Linked DNA regions of Oreochromis niloticus. The protein of the gene in region 1 interacts with the protein of each later gene in a biochemical or structural test. Links are inferred from orthologs where the notes say so. Each region holds a gene or a part of one and is shown on either strand. Other genes may lie near its edges.

Region 1 (7,707 bases):
TGGGTTTATGAATTTGTACTAACAGATGCAACTTGCAAACCAAGCTTGTTAGCGTTAGCTGATAACATCACTCCATTCTTTCATAGTCCAGAATTAATTTTGCCGATATTGTAGGAAAAATGTTTTCTTCTGGAAATTACGTTTTCAATTGAAATGATCAACAAAATATATATATTATATATTTTTTTTACATGAAATGAGGGAAAGCAGAGAATTTCTACCAACAACCACCTATAAGCAGCTGCTTCTTATGCACACCTGTACATTCTGTTGTGATTTAACTAAACTTCTAATGTCTGATTATCCTTATCCTAGAAAAAGGATAGTATTTTATGAACAATATTGGATTTCTTGTATGAAAAGAGATGTAAGAAGTGTTGTTTTATTGAAATTCAAATGTATTTGTCCTTTTAAATCTAGCAGCTGGTGTAAAAAAATATTTTAGCTCCCTTTAATTGGGCTTGCTACATCCATCACACATATACAGTCTGTGTTCCTAACATTCAACAAGAAAAACAGATGTTTCAGCTGGAGAAAGCATTTTTTCAGCACTGACCTTCTCCACTATAAATGTACAGTTGACATACATGAGTCACTATGGAAACAGTTGCTGTGGCTGCATGCACCTAAATCTTCACCAATGTGTATATTATCTGTAACGTAAATGATATTTAATGAATCGAATGAACCAACACACCTTGATTGCTGGGTGGGTCTTAGTGGTGTCATTACTTTTTTCTCCGGGAATGCTGCCAGCAGACCGTCCCTCACACTTGTACCTAAATCTCATCCCCCTTTGCTTTGGCTGCTCGATAATCTCTATGTAGGGAGCTGTTGAGGAAAGCAAAGGCATTGTGTGCTCATTGTGAAATACTGCTTTACGTGTGTCAACACAGATACAGCCTCATCGATCGTCACTACACCCGAGGGTAGAAATGTTTACTCATGAAATCACTGCAGAGAACATCAGTAATTCTTTTTAAAAAGGAAAGTGCGCTTACCCTGGTTGAGCGGGGTAAGGCTCCATCCATATCCAGCTGTGATGAACAGAAACAAGAACGGAATTTAACCAACTTATTGAGAAAAACTGCAGGTTTTCCATCTACGACTTACACGAGGAAGCACACAGTGGTGGTGGAGATGACAAAAATAATAGAAAACAGATTTGTTGCATATTTGTGGTTTAGTCAGAGTTTGTCATTTGTGGTGAGGTCAGGGTGGAATTCTACAAGAGAGTGCAGCGTCCAACGGGGTCGAAGGACGCCGAGATACAAGGGCCTCCCAGCTAAATATAATCTCTGGTTGTCATAAACCACTTGCCTGCAAAGCTACCGAGAAGGAGACGAAGTGCAGAAAAAGGCAAACAATGACAGGCAGGGCTTTTAATATTGGTGTCAGGTTACCAGCTTTGTTGCTGGAAGCCTTTAGTGCAGGGAGCACTCCAGTTTCAGGCAATAAGTAAGGTGTGACACTGGATGAGTTGATCAAAGCTCCACCCATCAGCAGGCAGGACTGGTTCAGTTCAAAAGCTTGAGTAGAGTCCTTTCCATGCTGTAACATGTTTGCTTTCTAGCTTCAGCCCAAAGACATTATTCTTGCTTTTTAGGTTCTGATCATACCTAAAATGCCAGAATAATATTGAATGAAGAGGCTGCCTAAAGCCCCAAAGTCAAGACTAAAAATAACAAACAAACATTTTTAAAAAATGGATGACATAAGTCTGTAATGACTGCATTTTGACCACTTATGTGAAAGACAGTCTTTTCTACTTACTGAGTCTGGATGATGTGAAAGTGAAAGCACATACCCACAATGATCGAAAGATCATTAATGACTGAATTAAGAGCATCACACCTGAGGTCTTCGACACTGTTGCTAGAATCACTTTCATTTTTACTGACCGAACAAAGGGACATACTTTTTATGATGCTCAGTCAGATGATGGCTGTTTGTCGTGCCAATATCCACATCCAAGACAGAGATAAGTGACACTTATCAACAAACATAATCTATTTTAAGGGTTATAACATTTGCATAAAGTATGGCTGCACTCTAAACATAGGAAGTCAACAGAACTCCATTATAAAATGTCGTTTGTTTATGGTTTAGCCTAAAGGGAAAGGTATATATGGAATAAAATAGAAACGGGGGCGGCTGTGAAATCTTCACAGTATCTGCATACACGTGTTCTCCTGAACACAGAGCTTATTACCACAATTTCCTATCGGAACCGTTTTTGTCAATTAAAGCCGGTGTGGGCGGTTGCTAGCAGCGTCGCCCAATTAAATACGAGACTTTTTTATTGAAAAGAACGTTATACGGTGGTTTTAACCAGGCCGAATTTAAAATACACTATTCACTGTGACTGATAAGCTTTTGAGAGCGTGATTCACAAAGAGCATTTCCACTTACAAACAGAAAAACATTAAATGGCGAGACTTCCGAACGAAGTTTCAGTGGCTAGAAGGAAATCTCTCAAGTGGACAAACCCCACGGGCCTCTTGGCAGCGCGAGACCGTTTGGTTCGCTCCGCTCGTGCCAGTTGAGTTGTCCACACGCTGAGAAATTCATTCAGTTAAACATCAAGTTTCTCTCGGCTATCTCACATGTATGCGATAAACCAAAGTTAAGTCAAACTTCTGTCTGTACGTTAGTTTAGTATCCGGGAACAGACTCCTCCTGTTGGCGCAAAACCCAATGATAGCGGGGCTTTCCCTTGTGCGCAAAACAACTCCCTGTACAGTTTCACCTCCCGTGTCTGAGATGAGTAAATAAAAGCAGCTTCACTTACGGTCCATAGCTGTGTCCAAGTCCAGCTCACGCTCCTCGATATCCCCCGCTGTTTCTCAATAATTTGTATCTTGTTTAAAGCCAAAAAAGAGCAGGAAACACGGCACTACAGACTCCACGAAGTTCTTGACAGAGCCGCTCTGTCGCCTCCTTCGCTCCACCTACGTCTGTGTATGAGAGTGTACAGTTAGTAAAGCCGCAGGGATAGTTACGTTCATGCTCACGGGGTTTCCGGTAAGTAACATCTATTTGGGGAGCGATGTGTTGCAACTTTCTGTTTATTTTTTGTGCAACACACCTGTCGCCAAGTTGCAGCAACTGCACAGTACGTGCTTTGTTCTCTTCATTGCGATGTCTTTTTCTCACATAGTAGGCATTGTTTTTGTGCCACGTTTATTAGAAATGCAGAATCTGAAATTGGATAACACCTTTTATTTACTACGTAGGCAGCTATTAGCTTTATCACTAAATGTTAAATAAATGAATCAAATTTGTAGTGAACTCACAAAATCAAAACATGGCAGATTTTTTTTTTCGGGGGGTAATTTCCAAGATAACGGAAATAGCTGTGAAGAGAACAATAGCTTGGTTTATTTTTTATTTTTAAAGCATACATTACTGCCTTTACCAAGTCCAAAATTATCAATAGTTTGTTTTCATGGTTTTCACGCTTTTGTTGTGCCATAATAATAATTACTATAATCACATTAGTATAGCAGAACTGTGGTGTAATAGGAGTAGTGTATGCCAATTGTGCGTTACTTATTTTAAGACTTTGGTCTCTTTGCAAGGGACAAGCAATTGCTCATAAGAAACTACATGCTCTTATTTTGAAGAGGGAAAATTGCGTCGTTTCCGGCGCTGTGGCTAGCTTGATCCAGTTGCAGACCTCTGCCTTCTCTCTGCAGTGCAACTTGCCACCACCCACTCAAAACAGTGCGGAAATACCCAGTGACGCACTTGAAAGAAACTGAAAAATAAGTGAGTGGGAGAGGCAATAACATAACTCTTGGCTTGAGTCATAACCTGGAAGAGCCTTAAGATTAAGATCCAACTCACTTTTTTTCCTGTCTGTCGGTTCTCGGCCTCTTCTCTCTGTAAACAGACACAACATACAGATCTCAAGTTTACCAGCTGCTGTGTTTTTCTGGCCTGTCCTTCACACACGGTCTTACGTTACAAGTTTCTGGTCTGCTGGTTGCACTAGAAATCAGTGTCTACTTAATACAGTGTGATAATAGTGATAGGGCTTCAAACTCTTTTTTTCTTTCTTTTTTTAATCAACGATTATTTCACCATGTTGTTTTAGTCCAGTTGAAGACAAAGTAACGTGAATAAAGGACTAATTTTGCTCTCAGAATCAGTAAACAATATTTATATATCAAAACCATTACTCTTAAAGTGTTGACATATCCTGACCAGAAGGGGGCGCTCGAGGTGAATAAATCAGGGCCTTTAGGACACCTGTCCTTTGATAGAATGTGGTGAAAATGAAAACTTATCCAGATTTTCTTAGGGTAAACGATGTTTCATTATAAATAGAGTATATCTAATGGTAATTTTTGCATCGTTATTATTATGATTGTTGCTGTAAGAAGCCCTGGATAAGCTGACGCATTCAACGCAATCGAAAATCACAGGTAAAAAGCAAGAAAATGCAGTGAATATGTAATTGAGCATCTGTTTGTTTGGTTACCCTTATTTTCTAATACAAATACATTTTTGTACCCTTATATCACGATGTTTATGGTTGAGCCATACTTTATATAGCATTAGCTGAATTTGAGGCTTGAATTAGAAAATGAGGAGGAAAAAAAGTACGTGAAACTTATGAATATGATTACTATGTTTTCAAATTAAAAAAAACTGTCCACTGTTCTCCTTTCTTCTCTAGAAACTAAAATATCCGAGGCGTAGTTGAATGAGGCGTAATTGCCCTAAATGGGAGGCCGCGAAAGGGAGGCGGTTTCTGTTCGTTGAGGCGGTGTCTGCTCTGCCTGCTTCAGACTGCGGCGGGCAGAGCTGTTCGTTACAGAAATGGCGGAGGGGGAGTTGGACGTCGACTCGCTGATTTCCAGGCTTTTAGAGGGTGAGTTCACAACCAACTTTTATTTATGTATTCTTGTTTTGCCCAGTGTTAGCCCCTAATACTTATTTAGGTTTCATTTTTGACAAGAAAGGCCCGCTTTACGTGTTAGCGTTGCCCGGTTCTGGAGTGAGCAGGACTGGTCCTCACTGTCGTTAACAACAGGCACACCTTTTTATTCAGCAGCCGTCTTTCCTTCACGGCTCTTTTTAGATTAATTTGTAATTGATGTGGATACAGCTATGATCGAGCTTTTTTGTACACTGCATTTTGAAGGTTTGGGTGATTGAGTGGTAAGAAAGTTATTGCTAGTGGGCTGTTTGTGCTTCGATGGCTCCAGTATGGAAGAGAATGTCAGACCTATCTTACTATCCATCTTAGTCTAACTAGCTAATATTATAGTAATTAAGTGCTGTCTTACTAATGTCACAGCATCAATTTTATTTGGTGCATTTCTTTGGAATGCACCAAATAAAATACTTGGCAAGTTGTTTCTACTGTCTTTCAACCTATTATAGTCTCTGGTCCTTTACAAAAGCTCTGTTCAAAATACGCTGTGGAGGGCGATAGCTTCAGGGGCAAATGCTCAGCAAAAGTTGACATTTCCTTAAAAATAAAGTTTAGATTGACGATTGAGTGTAGCCGAAAGTGTTCCAACAGCTGCCTGATCCACGAGGAAGTAAAATCTTGCCTCTGATTTCTAAAAATTGGGTTTGTCTTTACTTCTAAGAAAAATTCAAAATATTTAAATGGGATTTGGCTTAAGGGTTTCTGAGCTGAAGACTGCAGCTCTGTGTTGTTTTCTGGCGCATATTGCTAAATGGCGATGTTTACACAAGCCACAGGCTTCAGTAGTATTCCCATTAAAACATACTTGTAGGAGTTCAAAACCTAAACCAAACTTTTAGCTCTACTACTCCGTGTGTTTTCTTATTCCATGAACGAGTGCATATAGTTTGTTCAGCTGGCCTTTTGATCATAAAGAACACACATTTTGTCAGCAGTACTATATTTAATAAGAATCTTTTCGATACTAGCTGTGGTTCAACTTTATCCAGAGAGACACTTGTTAATTCTGTATTCTGTGGTAGCTTATATGCATGTGGGCTGCTGAGCTGTTGTGTAAAAGTGTTTTTGCCCCTACTCCATTGTTATGTGTTGGCTAGCAGCAGGGGATGATTTTCTTAGCAGTGCTAAATGAGGGATTCTGACAGACAGAGGAGTCGATGTAGATGATAATTTCTTGAAAACAGATTATAAGCAGAGAGATTATATCTCTCTGAGTCAGTGGTGAACAAGCATTCATGCCAGATCATCTCATGGAAAGCAACTTCTGCTAATGATTGAACCCAATGTAGATGTGCAGTGCATGTCAGTATAACTTAATCATCTGGACTGACAGGAGCAGTGACATAATGGTGCTTGTTTTCTCTTTGTGCGTGATCTGTAGAGTGTAACAGTACTGTGCCTGCAAGAATTGACTATAGTATGCTGGCTTCATGTTTAGAAGTTAACTTCATTGCAGGAAATTGGAGGGATCTGGCCCTAAAAGCTTCCAGATGTTAGCCCTCAATGTATCCAACTATCCATCTCCTTTCATTCACTTTTCATCTGCAACCATTTGAAAATGTCTGGCTTTTTTGTTGGTGTGACCATATTATCAGAGGGGCATCATAAGCTGTACTGAAGGCTTTTAGTTCTGACTCATAACCAAAACTGGATGTATACGAAACCAGTTATCTGGTGATGGGTCACAAATACTCGGTGATTAGTAATAGATGGGCTGGGTGCATTTGAAATGTCTCCCAGTATTGCTGCAATGTCTAGATTTTGTTGAGCATACTCATTTCAGTTTGGATGGTGTGATGTTTTTGTAATCAGATTATCTGACATTGTTTCTGTGGGCTTTTTTAAAACAAAAGGTTTTAAATCTTATTAAAATAGGGCTCCAAGTAAACCCAATGTTCCTGCATTTAAATTACTTGTTTACTCCAAAATGGTGTTTCCCAGAAATGAATTTACTTCTGTAGGTTACTTTTGTATACTAATGCCTGTCTAAGAATAATTTGGGACTCCTTTTAGCAATTTTTTTTTTTTTTTTTTTTTTTTTTTTTTTTAAATTTCAAAGCCAGTCTTTATTTTCTTATCCATGGCCAATCCAGTTGCTATAATTCTGAGACTGCAGTTGCTGCTAAGCAGTTTCTGCACCAGCAGGCTGATGTGATCTTTGCAGCAACCCTCAATGTCACTGAGCTGCTTCCCCAGAGAGTCTTTCGTCCTGTGATTGGACAGACTCAACACCACCACTGTGGACTGCATCTAGCAACAGTAGCCTTCGTCTATTCTGGAAGTCCTCTGTGAGCTTCTCCAGAATCTGTGGCAGGTGGAGGTGTGGTTTATATGCTGTTATGCTGAACACCACAGAGCAGAATGAGGAATACTGTCGCTTACTGTTGATCTGGATAGTCGAATTGTCTGCTGTATGATGTCCTAACTGGGTAGACAGCTGAATATGAATAATGGTCACAAACGTTGTGTATTCCTATTATTTAGATATATAGACACAATCATATGCATCAACCTGCTCTCATCGTAAATCCCGTTTAGTTCTGTGGGAAAAACTGTAAAAGGTATTCGATTTTCTGTTATGGATTGTAAAGAAAACCTTTACATAGTGAATTTTAAGTAATTGGCTTTCATAAAAATGACCAAACACTTGGTTAAGTAATGGTTAAGCACCTTTAAAGAAGAAGAAAATGTGTATTCAGATTCATGCGAGCATTCACTTTTCTGTCCTTGATATCAATCATATTTTTTGCTTTACTACAAGC
Region 2 (8,009 bases), on another chromosome or scaffold:
TCCAGACATATCGTCTCTTCGTTTTCAAGCACGTGAAAGTTGATAACAGATTAACATGCTTGAGCAGGGGTAAGTTTAACGCTCAATAAATCGTTTCTCATTATTCAGGATAAAATGCCTACATTTTTTGCAGAGAACTCTAAATTAATAACAATCAGTAGATTAATCCGTGACAATACCAATAGTAAACAATAGTAAACAGATCTCTAATAAAAATTAGGGCCTTTATTAGGGCTTTAATATGAGCCCCAGGAAAACGTGATTCCTCATGTTCACAGTCTAAAATTTAGGAGGCAATTTTAAGCGGGCATCAGAAGAGAAATACCTGAAAGGCATCATGTTTACACTTGGCAGCTAAAACATGTTCTCTTCCCACACAAACACAGATTTATTTAGGACAGCATGTAAAGAAATGAGAAACATGAGTCACTTCTCAGGGAGCAGGTGTTGTTGTGATTTAGGAATCATTGCGAGAGTGATAACAGGTGCTGTGGTTGCAAAAAAGTTTACCTTGCCAAAGGTTCTGTCGACTCAATTTGCATTGATTAAAAAACCCACATCTAACACATTCAGCATGCTAAACCTCAGACTCAATCTTCTGATTCAGTCTAAGAAATAGTGAAATGTTAAGCAGAGGGACGTTTTTACATTTCCCAAATGTACAGTTGATGTTGATCAGCTCCAAATATACAATAATGCAAAAATACGACCCTGCAAAAATGGGCTAAAAATCAAGTAAATCATAATGCTCATCAGTACAAATAAAATCAGTATAGACACAAATTTTACAGTAAAGAGGAGGGGACACTGGTTTAAAGAAAGGGAGATCCAGACATAAAAGTTTAACTAGTAAAGCAGAATTTTTCATTTGTAAATAACCTGCTTGTGTCCCATATTTCGGCGGTCAGTAGAATTCCGCAGCCAAAATGTTGCTTTAAACATACAGTAAATGGTGAAATGATTGGCCTTGAAGTTAATAATTACACCCAATTGAAAAAACAAATACATGACCTTAAGGCTAAACTGCGTCAAATACGCATGTCATCAGATAAAAGTAAATCAAACATGCGCTTTTGAAAAACACAGTAAGAATAAGTTAATCTGATATATAGTAAACAAACCAAAGTGTTGGTGGTGTAGAAACAAAAGTGGTTAATTATCTGTGGGCTGTATAGGAACGTGCCATTCACTTTTATATGGATTTTATGCAGACACAAATGCGCAGACTGTCTTCTTTCCTTTCATGCAGTGATTATGCTTGGCTCTTAATGAAGTTTTGCAACATTTTAAAACCGCTGCATAGAGGAGCGGCAACTCTCTCATCATAGATTTTAAATTAACACAGATTTTCAAGAACTAAGGCAATTGTCTGTGCGGAGGTGTTTTTAAGAGGCTGAACTTTGTATCTGTGGCTTTGTGCAGAAGTATATCATCTACGAAAAGTCAAACAAGACTTTCAGCACGTGTGATGGACAACAAAAACATAGCATGGTATCTTGAGGCACTCCTTTCATTTATGGCAACTAAGCAAAGTCCAAATCTATCACAGTCATTCTCTCACACACACCAACACCCATACACACACACACACACACACACACACCTCACTTCTGCAGTTATATAACCCGACAGGCAATAAGGCACTGATTGATGATGTATCAACACACTCAATTGGGTAGTCAGATTTTAAGCAGCGTATGCAGAGATTAAAGGCTAATTTCACCAAAGATATGATATATTTCTCTAACTGATAAGAGTTCCTGGAGATTTTAGACACAAATATTTGAATCAGACACAGCGAAACAAAAGATTCAAAAAGTTAACAAAAAAGTCTTTTTCAAACAGTATTACCAAACTTACATGAAATCACTTCAACAAAATGAAAAAAACAAAACAATAACCTTTTTATAACTTCTCTTATTTCTCACCCACAATTTTATCAGAAGTTCTCTGATTTTAAAATAGCCGTATTACATCAAGGGTCACGTTGCATGGCCGTTTAATCTGTGAGATCATTCTGCTAAATGTCTAATAATTCACAGGATCTGTTACTTGAGATCACCCTTAAAAATGTACTACTACTATATTTAAATAAAATAACTCCCGTTTTGTCGACACTGTTTCTCTGACTTTCTGACTTAATTGTTAAAAATATATTGCTGCTGATTTTCCACTATCTTTATCTTTGCTGAATATTATGATAAAACATGACTGCTTCAGCTCATTTACTACCACTGACATGTACTTACTCACTTGGGGAGCTGTTTTTACATTTGCCTTCAATTGATTCCCAATTTTTGGTTTTGAGGGTCAACATACTGTGACAATAAGCCTGCTGTGATGTTAAATGTAACATCTAATAGACTCAGAGGAAAGTAAACAGACCAAACACATGAAAAATGTCTGAAATGCCCTTGTGCATGTAAATAGCAAACTAAGTTTTGAACGAAAAGTTGTGATTTGAAGGATATAATGGATAAAATAGTGATTGTTGCTGTTATAAAATATCTCTGAATGTTCTTCCAGCAACCCCACAGTGTTATGAGACGACTGACATGAAGATCATACAAAGCGATGAGGAAAACAGGTGAACTTATTGTGACACTCTTACGCTTTACACGGGGCTCTTACAAGTTTTCTCACCGTGTGTCATTACTGAGTCTTAAAAGAATACCACCGAGACGTTTAACAGTTCACATCATCTATCACAGAGCCGCGCAGCAAGCCTCAAAGAGAAACGAGTGTTTAAGTCTGAGCTCCAGTCAACAATATTGCTGAGTCACCACCATTATTTTCCTGTCAATTCCAAGAACACAGAACTGCCTGAAGCGTGTGCGACATATCCACAAATTCCACGTATGACACAAAAGGTATAGACTTCAGAGAAGTACACATACACATATGTACTGTACAGGCCCTGTAAAAAGCCTCTTTTACTCAGATAAATGCTTATGAAATGCTTATTCTACAAAGTTTCTCAGCACGACATACACAGAAACAAACAAAGCATTCCTCGCACTCACCTGAGAAGCTGTGGTCAGTTTGATGGGTAAAATCTCTGCCTGGTGTTTGCATGTCAAGCTCACACTCACACTATGGCCCTCAGGCACACTATGGCTCAACACCTGACTTTGTGTCAGTTGTCAGTCCTGTGGCCGCCCCCCGCCCCTCCTCCCCCCGTCATTGCCACCCCCAATCTGTGTGCCACAGCCATCCTGTCACACTGTAGGCTACCTGTGCGTGTCCACCTTAACATGTAGACCGGGGACAATACTGATTTAGACACAGCTGGATAAATCAACAAGTCTCCAGCTTGAATCTACTTGTTTAAACTACTTTTGAACCAAATCACCGCAAACATGTTTTCTTTTGTCTTTTTTGGTTAACGTGCACGAATATTTAATATCAGATGAGACTGCAACAGTGTAATATTAACCCAGTCTTCAATAATTTAAATACACCCCCCCCCCCTTTTTTACGGTGCTTTCCCGTATTTTCTCACCCAGCCTAACAACCGCAACACTCAGCGCAGCATACTGTGCCGACCGGAAGGTGACTGACCTGATCGGTGTGTTGAGGCGCAGAGGAGACAGCGCACACTCTCTGTTTCTGAAGCTGGATGGTTTGTCTTTTATTTTCGATGTTGTTAATTTCTTTCAAAACTCGAAAAAAAACCCCAAACAAACAACGGAAAACCCAAACAAACCGTGGCGTCCGCACCGTGCGCACCGGAGCGCGGCGTCAAAGAGGTCCGGCGTGTTTGCTGTGCGGTTTTCTGCTCAAGCAGCAGCAGCAGCAGCTGTGGTCGTGTCAGCCTGCCTCTCTCTCGCTCTCTCTCCTCCCTCCTCTCAACACAACCGATCGGGATCGTGAGGACACAGGCAGAGGCATCAAATTACCCATTATAGTGGATTTTCTCAGTTGTTTGCCCCATATGGGAGAAACAGGTAATGTAAAATTCAGACCTAAAAGTGTTGTTTCTTAGGTGTTTAGCCATGTGGAACAAATAACTTAAAGGAATAGTTCCACCTCTTCAGCAAAGCACATATTCACTTAACTTGCAGGTAGTTAAGATAGTTTGATATAATTTTAACAGTAGTCAAGAGCTCAGTGGATTACCTTAGACCAAAGACTGCTAAAAGAAAAGAAAAAAAATCACCTTTTGGTATGGTTAAAAACTAATAAAATCCGCTTACCACTTGTGAAAAGCTGCTCTAACTTAGATGCACCAATAGTAAACTGCATTCGTATATCATTTACCTGCTATGTGTCACGCTATTTTTTTTTTCCGGGAACTGTGTATGGAACAAGTGAGTCTCTTTAAAGTATTGTTCCCCTCCAAGAAGTAGTTCGGCTTTTAGATACTGGTTTTGCAGATTAAGCAAGTAAGGTTACACTTTATTTGGTAAGTTTGTTTTTTTTTTACATTTATTTTTATTTATTTATTTTTACTAAGATAACCAGTTGAACGTGGCAAGAAAAATTCAATTCAGTTTAATGTAAGTCATATGTCGTGATTCACTAGCATAGTTATAAAAATAATCCATTACTCAATTATATATACTTAAACTTTGACAGGTTTCATTATGGAGAAAAAAAGGCGCACATTGAGACGTCATAGCTTGGATTAGTCTTGTTTGATATTATTGGATCACTAATACTGATGCATTCACGTGTAAGCACGGGTTTGTTGATGTAGTTTTTTAAAGGTGGGGCTCGTTTTATTTAGAGTACTGGTCGGTAGCTTAATCGAAAACAGTGCAACGTGTTTTCTAAGCTGACGTCTTGTGTACATCAAATCTGAAAGCTAATTTGTAACTACTTCATAAGTAGCAGCTGTACTAAGCTGTTAACCAACTAATTTAACTTTCGATATTAAGTCCATTCCCCAATAATAGTCAATTGTTCCTTTAATATGCAGTCACTTGACAGTAAGTGGTTGCTTGTTTTGTTGCTGCCTGTCGGGCCCCCCCCCTCTTAGTCACTTAGTTTACCAGTGATGACTATCGGGCTGATTACAGTCATATTTCTGACATCGCAGTCTTTGGTCTTAGAAGACAGGACTGAATTCACCTGCTGAAAGACAACAGGGTGATCATTTGACTGTGCAATTAAGTCATCTAGTTCACTAGGAAATCCTGCGAGTGTCGTTTAGCAGATAACATCCTGTCGACCCTCTCATGTGTTTACTGAAGCTGAAATTTTACTCTGCTGCATCACTTAGTTCATGAAACTCCATCCGGACAGTCAGCTAGCCTGCTGAGACTCAGTGCAAAAACAGGTGCACAATGAATAGTAAATTTGCCTACGTGCTGCATCTTTTTAGACTTTGTTGTAGATTTAAGGATCTTTGACTAACCTCAACAAAAAGCTCGCTCTGTTTTTAACTGAAAACCAGACATGACAGAATCTAAGGGCTACTTTTAATTTTTTTACACTGCTGACTGAAAGCAGATGTGGTTCGTGTTTTTTAATGCTCTTATCTTGAAATCACATTTTGTTATATCTGACTACATATCGGATGTTGAACTGCTGTAAATACCCTGCTTACCACAGACTGAAGGAGCTATTCTTAAGATTACGAATGAAGCATCTCAGCACTCACGGTGCAGGTGGGTGTTCAGACTGAAATGTGCCATTGCATGAGTACTGCTCGCTAAACAAAATCCATGAACAAACACACATATTAGATTTTGTTTTAAACTTTTACCAGTGCTGAAATGTACAATAGCCCAACAAGTACAAAGAGGCCTGTAGAAAACACACACACAAAGGAATAAAGCTGCCTTCCCCCTTTTTTTGGTCATTTGACCAGAGTCTGACCTGTTGGGGCTGCTCGCTTTGAGGTGGCTGTCTATGACGTTGAAACAGCATGTGCACAACTACATGTCCTGGTTTGCATTCATGGTTTTTCAGGAAGTTATTTTAGCAAACTGTAATCTTTGGTTTGCAATAGAGACCGTCGTCGTGTCACTGTGATTGCAACAAATAAATATGAATCTATAGCATATGCTAGAATTCTTAGAAGGTCTTTCAATAAAAATGTAACAAGTCCAAAAATTGTAGTGGGATTTGTGTCAAAACCAAACTAAAGCAAACGTGTGAACAGATACCTGACGGTGTTACTTCTCAAACATCAAGGTAGAATTTGTGTGAGCAGACGTTTCAACCTGTTTTTGAAGCAATTCAACGCAACTGATGTTAAGCCCTGCCACTCACTGCTCAACACTGCAATCAATTCTAAAAAAACCCCCCAAAAAAAACAAAACAGTTTCAAAACGCAGGTAAATGCAGCTGTTAATTTTGCTACCCTGTGAGTGCAACAGTGAGCTTCAGTTTAGCTGCCTTTGATCTATTATAACTCAGTATGGTGGACTGAGACAGCTGCTACACTTTGGTTATTTACACACACACACACACACACACACACACACACACACACACACACACACACACACACACATTCTCTCACTCTGTCTCACATGCATAACATCCTCCCCATGCAGAATTTCTTTCTTTTTTTGCAGAGATAAAAAAAAATGACACCCCTGAGAGTTTGGCTGTTACAAACAAAGCAAAGCAATAATTTCTGATTGTTTATACAGTCGAATCCCTGCAGACTCGAGCTCTGGTATCTGAAAATGTTCATCATGAAAGTACTTGTGTATCTTAACAGGGCTCTCCTACGCTGTCATGATTATTATAAAGTGAAAAAGACTTGTCATTTTTCAGGCTTACGAGGGGTGCAAGCTGCTCAAAATCAATGTGGCTTTTAGTGAGGAAATTGAAACCCTCACAGTTAACGTTACGGCAGAAGAAATCGGACAAACTGGCTTGATTTGTCCCTCCATGCTCTTATGTATGGGATGACAAATGAACTAAATCTTTAGATTATAACATTTAATCTCCCATCTCTCCCTCCAGCAGGTTGGGATGAGCACCAAGACAAACAGGATTTGGCTAGTATAGGCTTGCTTGGTGCGTTAGCCGCCCACATAAATGTCCCTTTGAGCAACGTGATGGAGACGTTCCCACAGATCTCTGTTGACTGGTTGCCCCATGGACCAAGAGCCAAAAGCAAAGTGTGTTTCCTCTGTCCTGACTGCACACACTGTATATAAAGTGTGTCTGTTTGTACACGTGTGTGTCATGTTATAAGCGCTCCCAGACTTTGTTGAAGAACTGGTTCTTTTTTCTAATTTTAAAAAATTGTTTAAACTTGATGTTACCTTGAAACCCTTTGTGATGTAGATGAAGCATCTGATTATGTCAGATTTTTTATGCTGCATACAGTAAACACACTGTCTGCCTCTTTACACAACAGAGAGGAAAACAAAAGTTCCGTTTCACGCAAAAGTATTGTGGTTTATGTTAAAGGCTAAAGTGGCACATGTGAAAAGGGCCCTTCCACCACTCGCCTTCTTAAAGTGTGACAAAAGCGTGACATTAAAGGCAGGATATGAAAGAAGAACAGGATGAGGAAAATATGACAAAGAACTTTTTTTTTTAAAGTGTCATTAATATGTGTTTTTACACACGTCTGTATGTATAAGTAATATTTTTAGAGACATCTTTAGAGATGTGTAAGGTATTTTTATATGGAAGGTATTCTTTAATAGTGTAATAAAAATGATAAAATGCTGATCTTGAGAAATGACAAGTACACAACTGACAGCACTTCCACATATACACAGTGCCATCTGCTGGCTCACAAGAGAAAATTCAACCCAGTGCCTCTTAAATAAAACACCACAAGACATCATTAATTCACACCTCGCTCGCTTAAATTTATGTGATGCTACTGGCAAATGATCATTTTTCTACTTTAAAGTGTTCATAAAATGTAAATATTGTTCTGACTGTGTAAGATATAAAGTTCTGCAATGTTTTGATATACAGTAAGCCTTCTGGCATTGTAGATTTGTTAGGGAGACTTTTGTGGATGCCTTAGTATTTTTCATCTAAAGGAAAATAAATATATATGCTGAGAGAAAAAGGACATAGCAAAA

Evidence for each region.
Region 2: the proteins of rela (region 1) and pparg form a complex in vitro, tested with the Homo sapiens proteins (3 studies listed by BioGRID, with this or other methods). The link is inferred for Oreochromis niloticus from reciprocal best matches to the Homo sapiens genes RELA and PPARG.

Annotation. Positions count from the first base shown.
Region 1 is NC_031967.2:4,864,994-4,872,700, reverse strand, and holds the start of rela (transcription factor p65), read right to left. Parts: upstream 3,001-7,707; 5' UTR 2,799-3,000; coding exon 2,792-2,798; intron 1,038-2,791; coding exon 1,002-1,037; intron 832-1,001; coding exon 698-831; intron 1-697. Other genes in the region: serine/threonine-protein phosphatase PP1-beta catalytic subunit, read left to right, coding at 4,828-4,879. UniProt on the Homo sapiens protein: NF-kappa-B is a pleiotropic transcription factor present in almost all cell types and is the endpoint of a series of signal transduction events that are initiated by a vast array of stimuli related to many biological processes such as inflammation, immunity, differentiation, cell growth, tumorigenesis and apoptosis.
Region 2 is NC_031970.2:18,929,451-18,937,459, forward strand, and holds the start of pparg (peroxisome proliferator-activated receptor gamma), read right to left. Parts: upstream 3,105-8,009; 5' UTR 3,076-3,104; coding exon of another isoform or gene 3,024-3,075; intron 1-3,023. UniProt on the Homo sapiens protein: Nuclear receptor that binds peroxisome proliferators such as hypolipidemic drugs and fatty acids.